5 linked regions of the Callithrix jacchus genome follow. The protein of the gene in region 1 interacts with the protein of each later gene in a pairwise test. Links are inferred from orthologs where the notes say so. Each region holds a gene or a part of one and is shown on either strand. Other genes may lie near its edges.

Evidence for each region. The genes of interacting proteins can lie anywhere in the genome.
Region 2: the proteins of UBE3A (region 1) and UBQLN2 interact in a two-hybrid assay, tested with the Homo sapiens proteins (2 studies listed by BioGRID and IntAct). The link is inferred for Callithrix jacchus from reciprocal best matches to the Homo sapiens genes UBE3A and UBQLN2.
Region 3: the proteins of UBE3A (region 1) and MCM6 interact in binary tests that used the Homo sapiens proteins (3 or more experiments, as listed by UniProt). The link is inferred for Callithrix jacchus from reciprocal best matches to the Homo sapiens genes UBE3A and MCM6.
Region 4: the proteins of UBE3A (region 1) and TAT interact in binary tests that used the Homo sapiens proteins (3 or more experiments, as listed by UniProt). The link is inferred for Callithrix jacchus from reciprocal best matches to the Homo sapiens genes UBE3A and TAT.
Region 5: the proteins of UBE3A (region 1) and YWHAZ interact in a two-hybrid assay, tested with the Homo sapiens proteins (2 studies listed by BioGRID and IntAct, with this or other methods). The link is inferred for Callithrix jacchus from reciprocal best matches to the Homo sapiens genes UBE3A and YWHAZ.

The regions. Positions count from the first base shown.
Region 1 is NC_133507.1:4,587,563-4,591,062, forward strand, and holds part of UBE3A (ubiquitin-protein ligase E3A), read left to right. Parts: intron 1-881; coding exon 882-1,087; intron 1,088-1,697; coding exon 1,698-1,862; intron 1,863-2,953; coding exon 2,954-3,109; intron 3,110-3,207; coding exon 3,208-3,281; intron 3,282-3,500. UniProt on the Homo sapiens protein: E3 ubiquitin-protein ligase which accepts ubiquitin from an E2 ubiquitin-conjugating enzyme in the form of a thioester and transfers it to its substrates.
Region 2 is NC_133524.1:56,701,807-56,706,089, reverse strand, and holds the start of UBQLN2 (ubiquilin-2), read right to left. Parts: upstream 2,801-4,283; 5' UTR 2,516-2,800; coding exon 641-2,515; 3' UTR 1-640. UniProt on the Homo sapiens protein: Plays an important role in the regulation of different protein degradation mechanisms and pathways including ubiquitin-proteasome system (UPS), autophagy and the endoplasmic reticulum-associated protein degradation (ERAD) pathway.
Region 3 is NC_133507.1:94,642,129-94,646,244, forward strand, and holds the start of MCM6 (DNA replication licensing factor MCM6), read left to right. Parts: upstream 1-1,316; 5' UTR 1,317-1,412; coding exon 1,413-1,519; intron 1,520-4,116. UniProt on the Homo sapiens protein: Acts as a component of the MCM2-7 complex (MCM complex) which is the replicative helicase essential for 'once per cell cycle' DNA replication initiation and elongation in eukaryotic cells.
Region 4 is NC_133521.1:30,321,224-30,325,297, forward strand, and holds the start of TAT (tyrosine aminotransferase), read left to right. Parts: upstream 1-1,274; 5' UTR 1,275-1,357; intron 1,358-2,022; 5' UTR 2,023-2,034; coding exon 2,035-2,269; intron 2,270-2,423; coding exon 2,424-2,528; intron 2,529-4,074. UniProt on the Homo sapiens protein: Transaminase involved in tyrosine breakdown. Converts tyrosine to p-hydroxyphenylpyruvate. Can catalyze the reverse reaction, using glutamic acid, with 2-oxoglutarate as cosubstrate (in vitro).
Region 5 is NC_133517.1:96,015,808-96,019,923, forward strand, and holds the start of YWHAZ (14-3-3 protein zeta/delta), read left to right. Parts: upstream 1-1,316; 5' UTR 1,317-1,448; intron 1,449-2,794; exon of another isoform or gene 2,795-2,945; intron 2,946-4,116.

The sequences.
Region 1 (3,500 bases):
CTCAAGCCATCCTCATGCATCAGCCTCTCAAAGTAGCTGGGACTACTGTAGGGGCATGCTACCACACCCAGCTAATGTTTGTGTTCTCTGTAGAGATGGGGTTTTGCCATCTTGCCCAGGCTGGTCTTGGACTCCTGAGCTCAGGTGATCTGCTTGTGTCGGCCTCCCCAAAGTGCTGAGGTTACAGGCGTGAACTACCACGCCCCACCCCAGTTTTCCAGTGAGTGATATAAAGGTCTCCACGATTGGGGTTTGCATAATGAAGACCATGTGAAATTGAAATGACTTTTGTTTTACATACTGGCCCACAACACAGGTATTAAGTAGCTTTGCTTATCTACGTTTATCAGATTAATCTAAGTTTATGTACTTCAGATCATCTGATGTTGTTAGGAAAATGCTAGAAGAATTTCATGGCAGCACTATCTAACTTTCAAAAACAGACTTTCCTTACTGTGATTAAAAGCTGTTTTTTAAAAATAATACATGTGGTACCAATATATTTTCATAAATGAAACACTTTGGAAATATAGCCCTTGGGTTTTATGTTTATGTTTTAGCTATGGGTAGATAAAGTGTGAATGTAACTTTTCTTATGTGTTAGTAGAAAATTAGAAAGCTTGAATTTAACGAATGTGTTTTTCTACTCAATGCCATTCAATTACTTAGGACTTTCTTTGACTTCATAAAATTACATACCACATCTGCCACAGTTTATAACATATATGTGGACAGTGTTTTCTCAAGTGCTAATAGAAATCAATGTATGCATAATTACATATATTTTTAAATGTTTTATATGTGTAATTACTTTAAATTTGTATTTATCACTTCTTAATAAAATACAAAAGTAATGTATTTTTAAAAATTATTTCTTATAGGTATGTTCACATACGACGAATCTACAAAACTGTTTTGGTTTAATCCGTCTTCTTTTGAAACTGAGGGTCAGTTTACTCTGATTGGCATAGTACTGGGTCTGGCTATTTACAATAACTGTATACTGGATGTCCATTTTCCCATGGTTGTCTACAGGAAGCTCATGGGGAAAAAAGGAACTTTTCGTGACTTGGGAGACTCTCACCCAGTAAGTTGTCATTTTTTTAATTCAGTCTCTTTGATTTTATTTTAAATGCAAATATACAATTTAATTTATATCAAAATTTTAAAAGTTTTCATTTAGAATCTTTAAGTTTTAATCAGACTGAAGTACCATGAACACTTACAAACTCTAAAAGGGGAAATTTTTATATATTGCTGTCAGCATGAAGCTTTTTAAGACTGATTCCATAGAGAAATGTTTCTAAACATTTTGTTTATATTTTAGTGAAATCTTATGAGATAGGTAAAATCAGAGCAGCCCTGGCTAAGGGTCTTGGTAGCTACCACTAGTGTGCCTGCTCCCACCTCCCCCACCCCCACGTTGAGACACCACAGAATTTCTCATAGAGCACAGTGTGAAATCGAATGCTAAATTGGTGGTGTGGGTTTTTCAGCAGAGAATGGGACATCCCAGTGACTGCCAGTGTTTCTTTTGTAGGTTGGAAACTATTGGGGACTGGAGGAATACTAACTATCCTTGTTACAGTTTTCATTGATAAGTTTTTTGTTTTTATTGTCTTAAGAAGGGTGATGTAAATTATTTGTTGTATTTTATAGTTCTATAGTGGCCTCAATTTACCATTTCTGGTTGCTAGGTTCTATATCAGAGTTTAAAAGATTTATTGGAGTATGAAGGGAATGTGGAAGATGACATGATGATCACTTTCCAGATATCACAAACAGATCTTTTTGGTAACCCAATGATGTATGATCTAAAGGAAAATGGTGATAAAATTCCAATTACAAATGAAAACAGGAAGGTAATGTTTTATGTCATCATGTTTGTCTCTTCATTAACAATTTCAAAGCATGTATGCTTATAATTTTTAAAGGAGTATCTAATATAGTCGGTACAAAGAAACACAAGAAATCCAGTAACCAAGTTTATGTAAATGCTGGAGTCCAGTCTCCTAAATCTTGGATGTAAGTTGGTATGAAAGCTCACAGTTAGGCACTAAATCCAATTTAGAGAAAGAGGACGTGACGTAGGAGATAGTTCATAGCTAAGTGTGGTTGTAGGATAAAGCAAGAAGCAGGGTATTTTCCATATTAAGCTGTAAGCAGGAACCTCATGATAAAGGACCTTGTCACAGACAAATAAAAATTACATTTAATTTACAATGTGTATCCTGTTTGTGATATAAAGACATTTCTGAAAAGTATTTTTTACATCAGATCTGCGTTTCTGTTGTCTAAAATGTGTTAGTCTGGAATGGGAATAACCCAGAACAGGAAAAATTATGACAAAGATATAGTACACCTTTTAAGAAACATGTTTCTATTGATATTTTTTGATGAAATATTATACACACTAAGGGTACAAAGCACATTTTCCTTTTATGATTTGATAGAGTAGTTTGTGTCAGTCAACACTTCAGTATTTTCACTGAACTGGATACAGTAGGCCGCTTAGCAAATATTCTGTGGTAGAAAACATGGGACTTCCTGGTTTGCTCAAATCAAATATGTTGTACGCTCTTAAAATGTTAGCATTTATAAATAGATGGATACATGGTTTAAATGTTTCTGTTTGCATACCTAGTTGAGGGAACCTAAAAAGTTGTATGCATCTCTAGCATTTATATTTAGGTGTGTTTAATACAGTATCAGAACTGACATTATATCATGTATGACAGTTTCATGTATATGGCCTTTTCACAGCTTCATATTGGCTATAACAGAGAATTGTGAAATAGAAGTAGTAGTTTTCTTTGTAGGTGTAATATTGAATTGTTTCAAATATTCTTTAATTTTTTTTCCCGGAAAAACTGAACAGCTCTGCAGCCTACTAACTTGTGTTCTGTTTGCATAGCATATTTTAAGAGGTTTTTGTGATTAATGTTTCCTACAGGAATTTGTCAATCTTTATTCTGACTACATTCTCAATAAATCAGTAGAAAAACAGTTCAAGGCTTTTCGGAGAGGTTTTCATATGGTGACCAATGAATCTCCCTTAAAGTACTTATTCAGACCAGAAGAAATTGAATTGCTTATATGTGGAAGCCGGGTAAGAAAGCAGGCGTCTGCAGAAAGTCACGGATGGATTGTTGTTCGTAATGAAGAGCAGTGCAGGAGACACTAAGACATATTTTCTTGAATTTTCAGAATCTAGATTTCCAGGCATTGGAAGAAACGACAGAGTATGACGGCGGCTATACCAGGGACTCCGTTCTGATTAGGTGAGGCACTGAATTCTTCAGAGAAGGTCTGACTCACTCAAGGGCTGTGTGATTTTGCTTCAGACCTTTATCTCTAGGTACTAATTCCCGAATAAGCAAACTCACAAGTTCTCATCTGTATACTTAGATTTGTTTTGTAATATCATCACCAATTTTCAGAGTTAATCTTGTGGTGAAGTGTTGTTATATGTGAGTCTCACGTTTCCTGCTGCATTTGGG
Region 2 (4,283 bases), on another chromosome or scaffold:
ATTGTGCCTACTGTACTGTGTACAAATATAGCAAAAAAGATCAATGAATGGTATAAATCTTACAGCATTTTGCTAGCAAAAATACATGCCAAAGTCACAATAAGCAATATCGTACCACAAATTAGAGAGCTTCAAATAATTTGCTTCTGATTTTAATATCTTCATTCTACATTAAATTACTATCATAGGCTAATGTTTAAAAATGCAAATAAATTGGACATCTGTAGGACAACACTTGTTCACCCAACTGTGAAGGTTGATACCTGTTTCCAAAAATCACAATAAATGCAGAATAAAGAAAGTGTTTGCATGCAACACTTTTGAGTGAAACAGCATTGATTCCCACCATTCAAAACAGATAAGAAAGGAAACTAAAGGAAAGAAGGAAGGAAGGAAACAAAGAGGGAGGGAGGGGGACACAAGAGGAAGGGAAGGAAGGAAAAATAATCAAAGGAGAAAGGGAGTGAGGGAAGTAGGAGGGAGGGACTCCATCTTAAAATGCATCATATTAGACTTATAACTAGACAGATTTAAAAGAATCAAAATGAAAGTAAAGAACGATTTTGTGTGTGTGTGTTTAAAGATTTAAGAGCCATTATCAAAAATAAGATACATTTTTTTTCCAGGTACAGAAATGTAATTAAGATGGCTGGGAGCCCAGCAGCCTTTCAATGGCTGCATTGATGTCGCCTCCTGTTGCTATTAGGGCCTGCAAGTTTGCTTCACGGTTTAAGAACCCCATTGCGTTGAGCTGTTCCAGTTGTTGCTGAAATCTGACTTCTGGATTCGGCAGCTGTGGAGCACTGGCTCCAGCCAGAGCCTGCACCATTTGCTGAATGAACTGCTGGTTGGGTCCAGATTCTGATGTAGGACTCGTGGTTTCACTGGGTGCAGCGCTGGACACAGTAGGACCGGTGGGACCACCAGAGCCGGTGGAGCCAGGGGGGCCTGCAGGGCCAGTGGGTCCTATGGGCCCAATTGGGCCTATGGGGGTAAAAGGGACTATAGGGCCTATGGGGCCTATGGGGGTGACTGGGCCTACAGGGCCTATGGCGGTTCCCAGCACCCCCACCCCCACACCTGGAGTGAAGCTTGGAATGAGGCCAGGTGCTTCAGTGGCTAATGTCTGTAGCCCCTGCTGGATCTGCATTAAAGCCTGCATTGCTCTAGGGTTTGACATGGCAGATAGTGTATCTGGATTCTGCATCTGCTGCAGGAAGGCTGGGAGCTGTGGACGCATCTGCTCCTGCAGCTGAGGATTTGCAGTAAACAGCGGGCTATTCAGCATCATCTGTGCAGCCAAATCTGGATTCTGGCTCAGCGACTGCATCATGCTTCTCATGTAGGGCGCCGACAGCATATTCTGAATCAGCTGGGGGTTTTCAGTTATCTGTTGCAGCAGGCTCTGCATGCCTGGGGTACTAAAGATACTGGCGACATAATTAGCTGCAGCAACGGTGTTCCCAGTAGCATTGCTGGAACTATTGCCAGACCCACTACCAGTGCTCGTGGTCGTGCTGGTAGTTGCAGAACTCTGGGTAGCTGGCGGTGGTGCCCATGGATTGGGTAGTGGATCACGATTTTCTGTGCGGGAAGGCTGCGTACCTTCTCCAGAGGAGGAACTACTCCCCACAGAGGCAAACGGATTACCCCCAAACTGCTCTTGTGCAGCATTCAGCATCGGCTCTTGAATGTCAGTGTACATGCGCCGTAAAGCATTATAGCCACCTGGGATGCTTTCGAGATTGCTAAGAGCCAGGTCTTGATTTCTCATCATCTCTTGCATCATGGCTGGATTCCTGGCAATTTCGAGTGTCTGCCTCATTATATCTGGGTTGTTGAGCAGGTGACTGATTTCTGGGTTTCTCTGAATCAATTGCTGCATCTGTGGATTAGCCATAATGAGCTGCCTCATCAGATCGGGATTCGAAAGCATGCTCTGAACAAAGGGATTTTCCATGATTTGGATCATCATCTCAGGGCTGGCCATGAGTTGCTGCTGCATCTGGCTCTGGAGCTCAGAGAAGTTGGTCGAGCTCAAGCCCAGGCTGCTAAGGCCTGCCAGTCCTCCCAGGCTCCCCAACCCAAACGGGTTGCTATTTGTGGAAATAGGTGTGGAGTTACTCCTGGGAGTCGACGCCGAGGTAGTGTTAGTTCCCGCGGCATTGCTAGGCTGCGTGGTCTGGCCCTGAGGTCGGTTCTGACTCTTGATGACAAGGTGAACAGTCAGCCCATCATGGATGCCGTGCTGGATCAAGGTATCTTGATCTTTTAAGATTTTTCCGGCAAAAATCAGCACTAGCTGATCGGTTTGGGATTTGAAGCGTTTCGAAATCGCTTCCTTAAACTGCTGGACCGAGCTATTCTCGGGCACCGCGAACTCCTCTTTCTCTTTGGGAGTCTTCACAGTGACTTTGATGATTTTAGGCTCCGCCGGGGCAGCAGCCGAGCCTTGGGCCGCAGCAGGGCCGCGGGAGGGGCGTGGGGGGCCGCTGCTCTCGCCATTCTCAGCCATGGCGGCCGCGGTGACGCAGGCGGGCAGGAAAGGCGCGGGCCGGCGAAAGAGAGAGAGCGAGGGAAGGAGGAAGGAAGGAGGCGCCGCCGTAGCGGGCTGGGCCGGGTCGGGCGGGGAGCGCGGAGCACGGTACCTCTGTGATGAAGACTGTGGTTCCGTGGTCCTCCGGAGAAAGGACTGGGCGTAGGCCGCGGGCTGAGGTTCCGCGCTCCAGTCTCTAGGCCTCCTCCGCCGCCGCCTTGTGATCCGACCGCGCGCACTCCCAGCAACTCCGGCAGCCGCTCCGCCTGCTGCTCCCCGCCCCTTCCCCTCCCCCAGTTCCGCGCTCGCCTCCCCGCCCTCTCTGCTGACGCGGCGCCAGGCCTAGATTGATAGATTTGGCTCGGTCAAAATTAAAAACTTCTGCACTGAAAAGAAAAAAAAAAGGGAGAGAGAGAAACAAAGGGAGAGAGAGAACAGAACAGAACAGTACAGAGCAGGCGAGGCAGAGAGGGTGGGACGGAGAGAAGGCGGCGGTAGAGAGTCAGCTTCTGTAAACGACATTAAAAGACCGATGGAGAATAAACATTAGAAATCTGTAAGGCAGTAAAAGGGTGAAAGCCTGATTCGAACCGATCCCACGTAAAAGACGAAAAATGAATAATAAAGAACTCTGACAAAGCAAAAAGAAAGGAGGAACAACCCCCAATGGGGGAAGGGAAGAAGACAGCAGGAGCATGCATTTTACAAAAGGAGTGCAAATGGTCAATAGACATTAAAAAAGGACGATTAATCTCACTAGTAATCAAAAAAAAATTCAAGTTAAAACAATAAAATTCTACTTTTGGGTTATATTGGCAGGGGAAAAAAATAATGGTAAACCTTCCTGTTGACAGGGACCCCTAAAAAATGCACTCTCAGGCTAGCTGAAGTGTGAATTGTTACAATCACAGGGCAATTTGAAAATATATATCAGCATTTCGAATGTTTCCACCTTTATTTAGAAATGCCTAACCTAGACACTCACCTAAGAAAATAATCAGATAAGGATGCAAAAATATTTATGTATAGAATGTATATACGTTGTAGCATTTTAAAACGTTATTTAAATATTTAAAATATCGGTTTACATGAGATTAGTCGAGCACATTATGATATTATCACACAAGAAAATACACAGTGTCTTTAAAGGTAAATATGAAATAAACTATAGTTATAGGGAAATCACAGAGTATTTTCAATTTTGGCTTTGTATATTTCTGTACAGTTAGAAACCATACAAGAATATATGTTACAATATCAAAAATGCAATAAATACATTTTTATTTGAAAACCAATCTTTGAACAGTTTGTTGTACATGTAAACTGTAAGTGTAAAAATATCTGGAAGGCTATTCACAAATAAGTTAATGGCTGTTAGTACAGTTCACTGAAATTATGAATATTATTTTCTATTTTTATAAAATTTTGAATTTTCTAATGATTTTTGTAGGTATGCACTGGTGAAAGGTATTTTGGGGAAGAGTATGGGTAGAAATTGACAGGCACATAACAGTAGTGGCAAACATTGACATATATACCTAATTTCATTACAGATTAAGTAAAAGCAATAAAGATGTAGCAAAGCTGAGGAAGAGAACTGGAAAAATAGAAGAGATAATTTCAAATTTATCTATATATTTCTAACTCTAGGTTAAATCACACAGAAAATTCTTCTCCCAGCCCCTACGCTCTAACAGGCATCCATCAAAGCACCAATGCTTTGAACATTTAGCAGCATTTCAAAGTC
Region 3 (4,116 bases), about 90 Mb from region 1:
CATCAGTACCCAGATGTTAATTAATGCCAAGGGAGTGAGAAGGGTCACCCAAAAGAACTTTATGGAAAAAGCAGGCTCTGGAACTAGAACATTTAAAAGACTCGCTGAAGAAGAGGCACCTACAAAAGATGCTAACCAAGAATAGCCAACGAGGTGGCAGAAAAACCGAGTGAAATCAAAGAGATGGCAGAAAATCCAAGTGAAACCAAAGTCAGGAAAAGATGGGGGAAAGAATAAAAGAACTGAAGCCAATAGTGCATTTTAAGAAGGGGATTAAAGCCAGACGCTGTGGCTCATGCCTGTAATCCCAGCGCTTTGAGACGCTGAGGCGGGCAGATCACCTGAGGTCAGGAGTTTGAGACCAGTCTGGCCAACATGACAAAACCCTATCTCTACTTAGCCCGACATGGTGATGAGTGGGCAGTGAGCTGATTGTGCCACTGTACTCAAGCCTGAGCGACAGACTTCATCTGAAGAAAAAGATTAAATCAGAGTCAAATATTTATTTGTTTTTCATTTATTTATTTATTTAGAGATGGAGTCACAGTTTGTAGCTTAGGCTGGAGCGCAGTGGTGCGATCTCGGCTCACTGCAACCACCGCCTCCTGGGTTCAAGCGATTCTTCTGCCCCGGGGTTCCTGAGTAGTTGGGATGACAAGCATGCGCCACCACGCTTGGCTAATTTTTGTATTTTTAGTAGAGACGGGGTTTCTCCATGTTGGCCAGGCTGGTCTCGAACTCCTGGCCTCAGGTGATCCATCGGCTTCCGCCTCCCAAAGTGCTGGGATTACAGGCATGAGCCACTGCGCCTGGCCAGTGTCAAATATTTCGCTGATTTTCTTCGGTCAGCACCACCATAATAATTGTGCCACCTTACCAAGGCGCTGTTTAGACATATCTTTGACTCTTTTACAGGGTTTTACCCCATGGTTTCCAGCTTATTTCCTCCAACCAGACAGCAAAAGTTGGAGATTTGAATCTTACTCATTTTTCTTTTCCAAAGGGTTTTACTCCGATCGTTCAATTAATATCAGTCAAATTATTTAAAGAACATTTGAAAAACCACTCGGATAAAAACCTCAGATTCTAACGTGTTCCACCAGCCAAAATATCCGCGGGCCACGGCGACACTGCGCAGGCGCAAAGGCAGACCTGTGCTTTCTCCGGAGGACTTTGCATTTGGCGCGAAATCCCTTTCCGTGGGCGGGGCCCTGGGAGACCAATCAACGCCGTTCATTGGACAGGTTTGGCGCGAAATCTTTGGTTCCTGCGTCACGATTGGTTCTGGCCGTGCCAGTCGGAAGAGGGGGCGAGGCGGAAGCGGCGGCGGCGCGCGAAAAGCTGCAGCGTCTGGAAAGAAGCGGCTTGTGGCGGTCGAGCGTGGCGTGGCGAGTTTTCGGCGCCAGGCAAATATGGACCTCGCGGCGGCAGCGGAGCCTGGCGCCGGCAGCCAGCATTTGGAGGTCCGCGACGAGGTGGCCGAGAAGTGCCAGAAACTGTTCCTGGACTTCTTGGAGGAGTAAGTCGGCGAGCGCGTGGGGCCTTCCCCGCCGCCAGCCTCCAGAACCCGCGGTATCTGGGCCGGGCGGGGCCGTATGGCCCGCGGGCGTTCGGGAACCTGGGGGTCGCAAGCCCGGGAAGCGCCACCCCGCCCGCCCCCAACTTTAAGCTCCGAGCCCGGCGGCCGCGAGGACCCTGGGACAGGCTGGGCTTTTTTCAGGACTAAAACCTATCTCGAGCCCTAAGACGCTGGTGCCCAGTGCTCAGCGCTTTGTTTCTTTCACTTGATGTTCACCACCCCGTGAGCCCGCTATTTGCATAGCCCCGGGTGACCGGCGCGGAAACCCGGGCTCGCTGAGGATAAGTAACTGGGCCGCTGGGTGCGGCTGGGTCGAGTGGGAGGCCGAACTGCTATTGAATCCCGGCGGAGCCCTGCTGGGCCACGCAGCCAGGTGCTGGGGGCGCCCGGGGCCCGGGCCACCCTCGCTTCTTGTGCTGACGAATGTTTCAGCGTGAACTGTGGTCTGAAAGCTTAGCAGGGAACTGCTTAAAAAAAAAAAAAAAAAAAAAGCTGCTGGGGCTGGATCCCTGCCCTGTAGAGTAGCTGACCATATTCCTTGTTCTGGGTCCCTTGCTCCTCTCTCCCTCTGGCCTTCCTTTCCTTACCCTACCCCTCTTTTTTCTGTGCCTCTGGGCTCCTGGCCTTATAACCCCAGCCTCCTTCCTGACTTGCCTCACCCACCGGTTACTTTTCCGAGAGCAGATATACCACGGCCTACAGGATGAAGGGTCAGCAGTTTGGAATGGTTTATGAAATAATTTTTATTGTAAAATATACATAACAAAGTTGACCATTTTAGCTATTTTTAAGTGTACAGTCCAGTGGCATTAAGGGCATTCACCTCGTCGTGCAGCCGTCACCACTCTATCTCCAAACTCTTTTCATCTTCCAAACTGGCATTCTGTGCTCATTAAACACAAACTCGCCTCCATTACCCCCTCCTTCAGCCACCACTCTGCTTCCTTTCATTATGTGTTTGACCACTCTAGGTACCTCATATAAGTGGAGTCGTATGGTGATTGTCCTTTTGTGTCTGGCAGGTTTCATTTAGCATAGTGTCTATAAGGTTCTTCTGCGAAGGTAGTATGTGTCAGAATTTTCCTTTTTAAGGCTAAATAAATAACATCATTGTACAGGTTGAGTATCCCTTTTTAGAAACGCTTGGGACCAAAACTGTTTGGTATCTTGGATTTTTGTTTTTCAGATTTGGAGTATTTGCGTTATGCTTAACCAGTTGCATTCCTAGTTTGAAATGCTCCAGTGAACATCATGTCAGCACTCAAAAGTTTTGGATTTTGGACCATTTCGTATTTTGGATTTTCAGATGAGGGCTGCTCAACCTGTATATATACTACATTTTGCTTATCCATTCAATGGATGCAGGTCGATTCCACCTTTTGGCTATTGTGAATAATACTGCTGTCTTATGAAATCTTGATAATACTAAAACCATAGTTTAATTTCCATTTCACTATCTATGACAATGTTACTGTCTGCCTGACAATTCCTCCTTCAAAACCCAGCTAAAAATTCACACCTTTGTGAAACCTTGTACACCTTTTTGAGAGGCACTAATCCTTTCTTCCTTAGGCTCCCATGGTTGTTTTTCATTTACTTCCGGCAGTGTATTTATCTCTTAGTCAAATCCCATCCTCAACTCTGCCTACCTACCACACCACTTTACAAAGGTTCTTCAATAAATGTTTCATTTAAACACATAATGTAAGTGCCTTGACTTTGCAGCTAGATGATAATGATGAGACAATCCCTGTACTTTGTTTAAAAAAATGCCAACTCCCTATCACAAAATCAACTGATTCACCATTGCTTGTGGAATAAAGTTTAAATTCTTCACCACTCTTTCCTGTCTGTCCGCCAAAACCAGCCTCAATCATCATCCACACTTCTCCCCTATCTTCTCTGACTTAATCACATACTTGCAAACATCCATAGTCAAGTCACTTCACCACCTGTTTTTCGTTGAAATTTTTAACTCCTTCAGAAGCTGAATTCCAGTGCCACCTTTTACATGTATGACTCTTACAAATGTTCTTTCAGACAGAATTAGTTTCTATTACCCTAGCACATTTCTTGTTCTTCTCATTAACAGGACCATCTTTCTTGTCTGTCCTCATTGTTTACATGTCTGACTCCCTAGACAGATGATGTTAGTTAACCCTAGGGCAGGCAGGAACAACATTGCCATTTTCAGCCTCAGAGATACCACTGTCATAGGACTTTGCACATAGTTGTTTAACAAATATTTTAAGGAGTCAGAACATGCTGTTGCTGTATTTGGAGGAGGAATTTATTTTTTCTTAAAATGAATCTGCATATTGTTTGAAGAAACAAAAAATAAATTTATATGATATCCTGCTTGGGCTTTAGAAGGAAAAATACAAACAGCTTTATTTGTTGTGCATGTTTCAATTTTCCTGCAGTCTTGGGCAGTGAAGCACCTCATTTCTGTGTATTCTTATTTCTATTCTGCTTCTTAAATCTGTGACTAATCTATCATTTTGCAAATTCCCTACAGAAGTGGAATGTTTGGTTTT
Region 4 (4,074 bases), on another chromosome or scaffold:
CACAGTCAATGTATAGAAATTTATCTTAAGGAAATAAGAAAATATGTAAACCAACATTTATGACAAGAATGCCCTTGGCATCATTCTGTTCTATCTGGCCCAAGACGTGAATAATTTTGTCTAGTGTATCCATGCTGTAGACGTTACCTGCCATTCCTGTATAAGGGAAAATATAGTGGATCTAGGGTTCAGTACTACCCATGGTTTCAGACACCCATAATTTCAGGCATCCACTGGAGGTCTTGGAGTGTACCCCCTGCAGATAAGGGGGGACTACTGTACTCAACACCACTGGGGGCTTGAATCCCTGAAAAGTGGATGGAGAAAAACAAACTGATGTGAAAAATCTTTGTCTTCCAACAAATAAACAGATAGGATCTGTGCCCCTGGGTGATGATTGAGGCTTCTCTTAACTTTCAGCGGGTGGTATTTTCCAGTGCTCACAGGAATGTTGAGATTTTTGGCTGTGGACCTTGTGTTTTGCTTAGTCAAGTTGTTTTGTGTAGATTGCACCTGACATTTTATTCTTCCAATAACCATAGGAGGTAAATGAATAATTCATACACAGTGCAAGGATACAACTGCACAGGGTTCAGCTGCCTTGGAAACCCTGTGCTGTTCAGATATTTGTTGAATGGAACTTAAGCGCTCAATTTGTTCTGATTGGAGCAAAAATTTGTGGACTGACAAGGAAAGGAGTCCAAGATGTAGGAAGTAAAAAAAAAAGTTACTAGACAAGGTGTAGAGCACGATCCTATCTGTGTTTTGAAATCTACAAAATTATGTATCTATAGCTATGTATGTATCTCTGAATGGAGAGAAAGAGCCCAATCATTACCACTGCCTACCCCTGGGAGTGAGAATGAAGTGTAGAGGGAGCAGGTGCAGGGAAGAATGCTCACTTCTTACTTTATGTACTTCTGTACTGTTAAAATTTTAACAGGTCATCCTGTAACAACAACAAAAAATTTAATAAAAATCATCAATTATAATCAGAACTACCCTTTGACAGTAAATGTTCTCAAACCATCTCACCAAATGCCCAGAAAGAGTTAACACAGGAGAATTTCAGATGTTTGAAGTGAGGATGAATTCCTGCTTTGCGGGTGGGAGGTGGGCTTAGGGATGAGAGGCAATGAGGAGGGGAGAGGAGGGAAGAAGCTGAGGGGAGGGTTGGCTGCTGAGCTCTCATTCCCAACCAATGGCATGAACGTTTCAGGCCCAACGCCCATTTGTGGAGACTATTTCAGGAGTCTGGATTTGCATCTGAGTTCATTGCCACTGAAACCTGCCAGAGAAGAGCTAAGGGAGCTTTTGGGGTTGGCTTCTTGGAGGCTGCTTCTCCTTTACTTGGAAGGTAAAAATCTCAAGCCCAAGCTGATCAGGTGGTGGTGATTGATTGGGCTGTTTACTTTTTTCTTTTGGGTGTATGGATTTCTTGTTCCAACCAGGGCCATAAGAGGCTTATGGGATAGGGTTTTACTTTTACTAACAATGATATTTACATGGAGCTTCTAATAAGGTGGAGTAGTAGTTCTTCCTGGTCCATTCAGATGACAAAGCGCAGATTGTCAAAGCGTTAAGTAGATTTTGTTGGATAGGCTCGCATGGAAATGAGGGAGCGCCTATGCTTTGATGATTAACAATTTTCATATTATTCCTTCTTGGTTTCACACAAAGCATGGTTCAGCTTTTACAGGAATTACACATGAGTGTAGCAAATCCTACTCAAGTATTCAACGGAATGCTTTCTACTAACACTGTAGAATGAGTTCTTGCTTTATTTTCCATCTTAGTAAAAAGTCTTTAAAACTCTCTTAAGTTTTTAAGTTAAAAAAAAAAAACAACTCCTTTCATAGTAAAGATACTTTACAAGAGAAAGTAGGAAAAAAAAAAAGAAAGAGAGAGTTTGGAAAGACACTTTCAGTGAAGTCACCCTGATGTTTAGGTCCAAATGTGGTTTCTCTCTCCCCCAGTGCTATGTTTCCAACATCTCAGGGACCTTCTTCTTCCCCCTCCCAGGCTTCACTTGTGATGGACCCATACGTGATTCAGATGAACAGCAAAGGCAACCTCCCCTCAATTCTGGACACGCATGTCAACGTTGGTGGGAGAAGCTCTGTGCCGGGAAAAGTGAAAGGCAGGAAGGCCAGGTGGTCCGTGAGGCCCTCAGACATGGCCAACAAAACTTTCAACCCCATCCGAGCCATTGTGGACAACACGAAGGTGAAACCAAATCCAAACAAAACCATGATTTCTCTGTCCATTGGTGAGTTGGGGATACTACTGAGGGAATGTTATAGTCCCCTCTGCTCTCATATTCACAGGCTGGTTGGAGAAGATGGGAGGTGGGGGGTGAGGCTGAGTACTGAATATGGGAGAGTAATCTCTTGGTTCCTTTTGTTTTTTCCTTCCATAAAAAGGGGACCCTACTGTATTTGGAAACCTGCCTACAGACCCTGAAGTTACCCAGGCAATGAAAGATGCCCTGGACTCCGGCAAATATAATGGCTATGCCCCATCCATTGGTAAGCTCCTCCTGAGACTCTGTACCTGGTGGCTGCCCAATGTTTAGTGTTGTTATAACAGGACCAAATGTCTAGCAATTCTCTTCACTTTCCTGATGTCTAATTTCTAAGGAGAAGCTAAGATTACATGGCCCTTTGGATTTGGAAAAGGGGTCTCAGGATGCTTAAATACAAGGCATCAAGGTCCAGCTTCTTTCCTGGCTTCCTTTGGCATATGGGCACTTTCCCTCTAGGCTCCCAAACATACTTATTTGTCAAATAAAGGTCACCTCCTATCATTACTAATTCTAATATGAAGGTCTTGTGTCTGGCAGGAGCTTTGTGTTTATTAAGCCTTCTAGGTGCTAAATGGTTTTACTTATTACCCTGTGTACATAGCCTCTTTGCTACATTTCTTCTCTATGTATTGAAGGCCTATTTTCATTATGGCCCTGAGCACATTGAAATGCAATTGTTACTGTTTAAGACTCAAGAGGTTAAACAAACACCCAAGAACAAGAAAAAAATGGGCTGTGAAATTGAAGGATGGAAGGTTGTTTCAGATAGATAGAAATTACTTCTTTTTAGGTTTAATTCTCTCTATTAAAAATTTCTACCCCGAATATTTTGGTAAAGTACATGATTCCTTGACTTTCAGTGTTGCACATTTTTTTCCTTATGTGTACATAGAAACAATTCTAAATGCAGAATAAAACCCAAGTTTCATGATAAAATCAAATTTTAAAAACACTTTAAAGAGTTATATCGGGGACTTCGTGTTTTTTAAGGTTGATGACTTAAATTTTTTAAAGTTTCTTGCCAGGCGCGGTGGCTCACGCCTGTGATCCCAGTACTTTGGGAGGCTGAGGCGGGTGGATCACGAGGTCAAGAGATCGAGACCATCCTGGTCAACATGGTGAAACCCCGTCTCTACTAAAAATACAAAAAATTAGCTGGGCATCGTGGCACGTGCCTGTAATCCCAGCTACTCAGGAGGCTGAGGTAGGAGAATTGCCTGAACCCAGGAGGCGGTGGTTGCGGTGAGCCGAGATTGCGCCATTGCACTCCAGCCTGGGTAACAAGAGCGAAACTCCGTCTCAAAAAAAAAAAAAAAAAAATCAAAACAAAATCAAGACCAAAATTTAAGTTATAAAAAAAGTTTATAATGACTTTAATATCCAAAGTATTGGGAAACTGATTTAACCTGAAAAACCAAAATCAAGTCTCCATTTGACAAATGTTCAAAGATTCTGAATGTTTCATTCCAAAGGAGATACAGGTGGTAATATATGTTTAGAAAAGTGTTCCTCCTCATTAATAATTAAGGAAGTACTAATTTATATAATTCTGAGAGACCCATCTATACCTATTAAGTTAGTAAACATTATGTTGCTAACTTGTCTTTTTGAACATACATTTTGCAAAATATTGTAATGGGCATGAAACTGCTGACATTTCAAGCTTATAAGCTAACATTTGGAAATACTGGACAAAAATAATATGAAATAAAAATTTGTGCAAAAATACTGACAGCAATATTACATAACATAAAAAACTTAAAATGGAC
Region 5 (4,116 bases), on another chromosome or scaffold:
TCCGGGCTCTGTCCCCGCTCGTCGCCCGGCCTGTGGCCCACTCCCATCGCCAGCTGGGGCCCTGGGGACTACGACGTCCTTCAAAGCTTGCTTTTAGAAGACAAAACGGTAATGATAGTCACGTTTTAAATCACTGCAGTGTGAGCTCTTCACGTGAACGCTTTATTTGGGTAGGAAAACCTAGCCTACGAGAAACAGGCCCGTGCGGTCACGCCTGACTGCTCGTCTCCGGGTCAGCTGTGCCAGGACCAGCTCCAGCCCCCCACCGGAGAAGGCGATCCTTTCCCCTCCGCACTCTGGCTTCCCTAAAGCGGCCGCGCCTCCTTCCAGGCCTGACCTCCCGCCGGCTCCGCCCGGCCCGGCCCACCTCGCCCCATCTCGGTGCCCACCCATTGTCCCCTCTCGCTGTCACCGAGCGCAGATCCCGAGCTCCCGATTGGAACACCTCCCCATCACTCAGCCACACTCCCGTTTCCGAGCCATAAAAGGTCTAGGGCCACTTCCCCGGAGCCAGCAGGTAAAGCCGCGGCGGCGTAAGGGAAGCAGGGAGCGGCCGCGCCCCCTGGTCGACCCAGCCGAGCAAGGGGAGCACACCACACACAGCCCTCCCTTGCCTTGCGACCGCGCCCTGTCCTCGCCCCAGGGCCCCCACCCTGCAAGTCCTGATCACAATGCCGGAGCCGCCGACCCACACTCGTCATCCTGCCCCGGGACGGCCCTGGGACAGTGACCACCGCGAAGCACCGAGGGCAGGGCAGGGCGGGCCGGGCCTCGGGGAGGGGGGCGGGGTGGGGGGGATGTGAAAGGTCCCGGATGTTGCTGAACTGGAGCCCCTTCCAGAGGAGTGAGAGGAGTGACTGGCGCAAGCGCAGACCGGCTGAGCGAAAGCTAACGTGGGGGTAGGGGTAGGGAGACAGCTGCCTTCCCACAGGCTCAGAGGTAGAGTGGGCCGGTGGAGGCTGCAGGGGAGAGGACGTCGGGGACCTAAGGGGAAGGCGAGGAGTCGGGGGGATCTGCGTTGGGGAGGAAAAGAAAAACAGAAGCTTCCCGCCTAGGTGCACTCCGGACAAGCGTAGAGGACCTGGGAGCCGAGCCGGGTGGGGGAGTGGCCGTAGCGGGCGAGGACGCGCGCTCCTCCGCTCGCCCTCCAGCGCGGGCGGGCAGGACGCGCGCCGGGGAGCGGCGGTTGCGCGAGGCCCAGATCGCTGTGGGCACTAATCAACGGTTGCCATAGCAGCGTTTGACGTCATCGTGCGTGTGGTGCCCCTGCTGCCGGGGCTGGTGATTGGAGGAAACCCCGTGTCTGCGGAGCGGCTGTAGCCTGTGAGCAGCGAGATCCAGGGACAGAGTCTCAGCCTCGCCGCCGCTGCCGCCGCTGCCGCCGCCGCCGCCGCCCAGAGACTGCTGAGCCCCTGTCCGTCCGCCGCCTCCACCCACTCCGGACACAGGTGAGGAACCCGTCCGCCGCCGCTCCCCGCTCCTCCTGTCCCAGGCCAGCCTTCTGAACGCGTGGGAGCCGTCCTCACCGGGTCCCCTCATCCCCGCTCGCCCCACGGTGGCGGCGCGGGGCTGAGGCGGAGTCTCCCCGGCAGACACGGGCGGCGGCTCCTCTTCCGCTGGGCTCGGGCGGGCGGCTAGCGGCAGCCTCCCGCGCCTGGTTTCCGCGTCGCCGCCCCGGCCCCGATCGGTGCTCGCTCCCCCGTCCCGCTCCCGGGGGTGGGGAGGGCGCCCACACGCGAGATCCCCGGGGATCCCCCGTCGCCTGCTCCCGAAGCCGGACGAGGCATGGCCGGGGCGCCGCCGGCCGCGATTCGTCCCCACCCTTGTTTCTGCTTCTACCCCCGCCCTCGCTGCCCTTCTCGCTTCCGCCCGAGATAATGACTCGGCGGCGGCGGCGGCGGCGGCGGGCATCGCGGGGGCGCAGGTGAGGCCGCCCCCTCCCCTGTCCCTCGGCCGCCCCTTCTTTCCCCTCCCCCGCTCTCCCTCCCCCGCTCTCCCTCCCCCTCGCGCAGCCTCCGCGCTGGGCGCTGCGGTGGCGGGACCCGGCCCTCCCCCACCCCGGGAGGAGGTAGCGCGGCGGGGAGGGGCCGGGGGCCTCGGGGACACAGGCGGGAGGGAAGGGCCTGGCGGAAGCGGACAGGAGCCCGGGCCCGGCCCGGCGGCGGGAAGGGAGCCCACTGCGGGGGGAGGCTGTGGGGTGGGGCTCGCCTGGGACCTGGAGCTGAATTTCCTGGGCTCCGCGGTGGGGGGAAGGGCTTGAATTTTCTCGGTGGGGACGGGGGATGGGGATGGGGATGATTTTCTTTCCTCCTTATGAACCGTCGGGGAAGGCGCGGACTGGGGCTGTGAGCCCAGGTTGGGGTAGAGCGGGGTGCGGATCCCGCGATAGGCTCTCGCGCCGGAGTCACTAGAACTGGAGGGTCCCTCCGCCGCTTCGGGGACGCACAGTGATCCTGAGCAGAGCGGCCGCCGGTGGCCCGCTCGACTGGGTGTGGCTCTCGTCCCCTCCCCCACCTGCAGCTGTCGGGCCCTTAGGGACGGTGCACGCGGGCACCGGCGCTGATCGGTGGCGGGGAGAGCGCTGGGTGGGAAGGCGGGGTGTGTCCGCGGTGAGGCTGCTAGTGGTTCCGCTTCTGCGGGCGTCTCTGGCGTCTCTGCCCCGGGGTCGGGTGGCTTGGCTTCCCCCCACGGCTCGAGCGGGGGCGGGGGCGCCGGCTGCTCCTCCCCCTTGCTCCGGTGGGGGGGGGAATTAACACTCAGCAGTAGGTTGGGCTCCCTGACACAGATCCGCCATGACAAAGGAGGAGAGTCGGGGACCTGAGCGGAGGCTCGGGCTTGGGCGGAGCCTGGAGGGGGGTGGTTGCAGATACGCGGACCCGAGGATTTGCACTTTAAAGTCCGGGTCTGCCCGTTTTCTTTTCACCCTAACCGATGTCTCAAGTCAGGTAAGGGTTAAATGGGTGCGGTGAGTCCTGCCCGCAGTGTAGAGGCGAGGCCTTGGAGCCATCGTTACTGTGTGAGAAACCTTATCCACTTCCTCTTGTACCCAAGTAGTGGGGGAGAGAATCCTTTGTGCTGGTTTGAAATCATTTTTCGTTAGAAGCAGAATTAGCCAGAGAGCGTGTCTCAGTTCCTAAGGGAAAAATTAATAATAGAGAGACCTGAGGAAAAGCATGTCGTCATAAAGGTTAAATAATTTTTATGGGTGAGCCAGTACCTTGCATCCAAATTAGCTAATTACTTGCTTAAAATGTGAGGACATGTTCTCTCATTTGGTTAAAAAAGTATTGTGGGATTTCCCTGGGAAGGTAAAAGGTAATTAATATTCGGGAGTCAGCTCCCAAGGTGGGTGGGTCAGAATAGCTCTTCTGTTCACCTTCTAATTTAAAATATACACTTCATTTATGTGTATATTTTCCTCTAAAGTCGTTTATTCTGCGGTCTCACTGTGTGGATTAGTGTCTTTGTGCTGTTTAGCAACTTTGAAAAGGATGTCCTTCCAGAAAAATGTAGCTGAGGTAAATTGAAAAGGTCTAGGAAACTATGTGAGGGAAGGAGTTAGGTGGGTAGTCACGGCAAAGGACAGCTTGAGTGATAGCATGCAGTTATTGTGACGGTGACAGCTAGAAGCAGGATGCGGCACTTACACATTGCAACTGGAGCCATGACATTGCAAACACTTGTAAATTAAGCACTTCCAATGTGATGTATTTTAGTACTCACAGTAATAGTTGAAGGGCCATGACTCGTGGGTATTTTTAAAGCATGTGGACATACAACACGATAAAGAGTTGAGGCATTAGGGTCGGTTAGATGTTGGTCCTTTGTGGTGGCTTTACAGTAAAAATATCTGAGAACAAGCAGTTTGGCTATTCCTCCCCTAAAGTGTTATGCTATTACGGCTGGCAAATGTTACAGAGATCTAGTAGATTTGGAATGAGGGGAAAACTAAAATTTAATCACTCCTTATTATGAAAGTTAAAAGACATAAATTACATTAAACTGACTTACGATTCTGGAAGTATGATAGAAATCCACATGTTCTGTAAGCAGTACGTTTACAAAAGGAAGAAAAGCTGCTTAATTTTATATCACTTAGTGGTATTGGAATTGAGT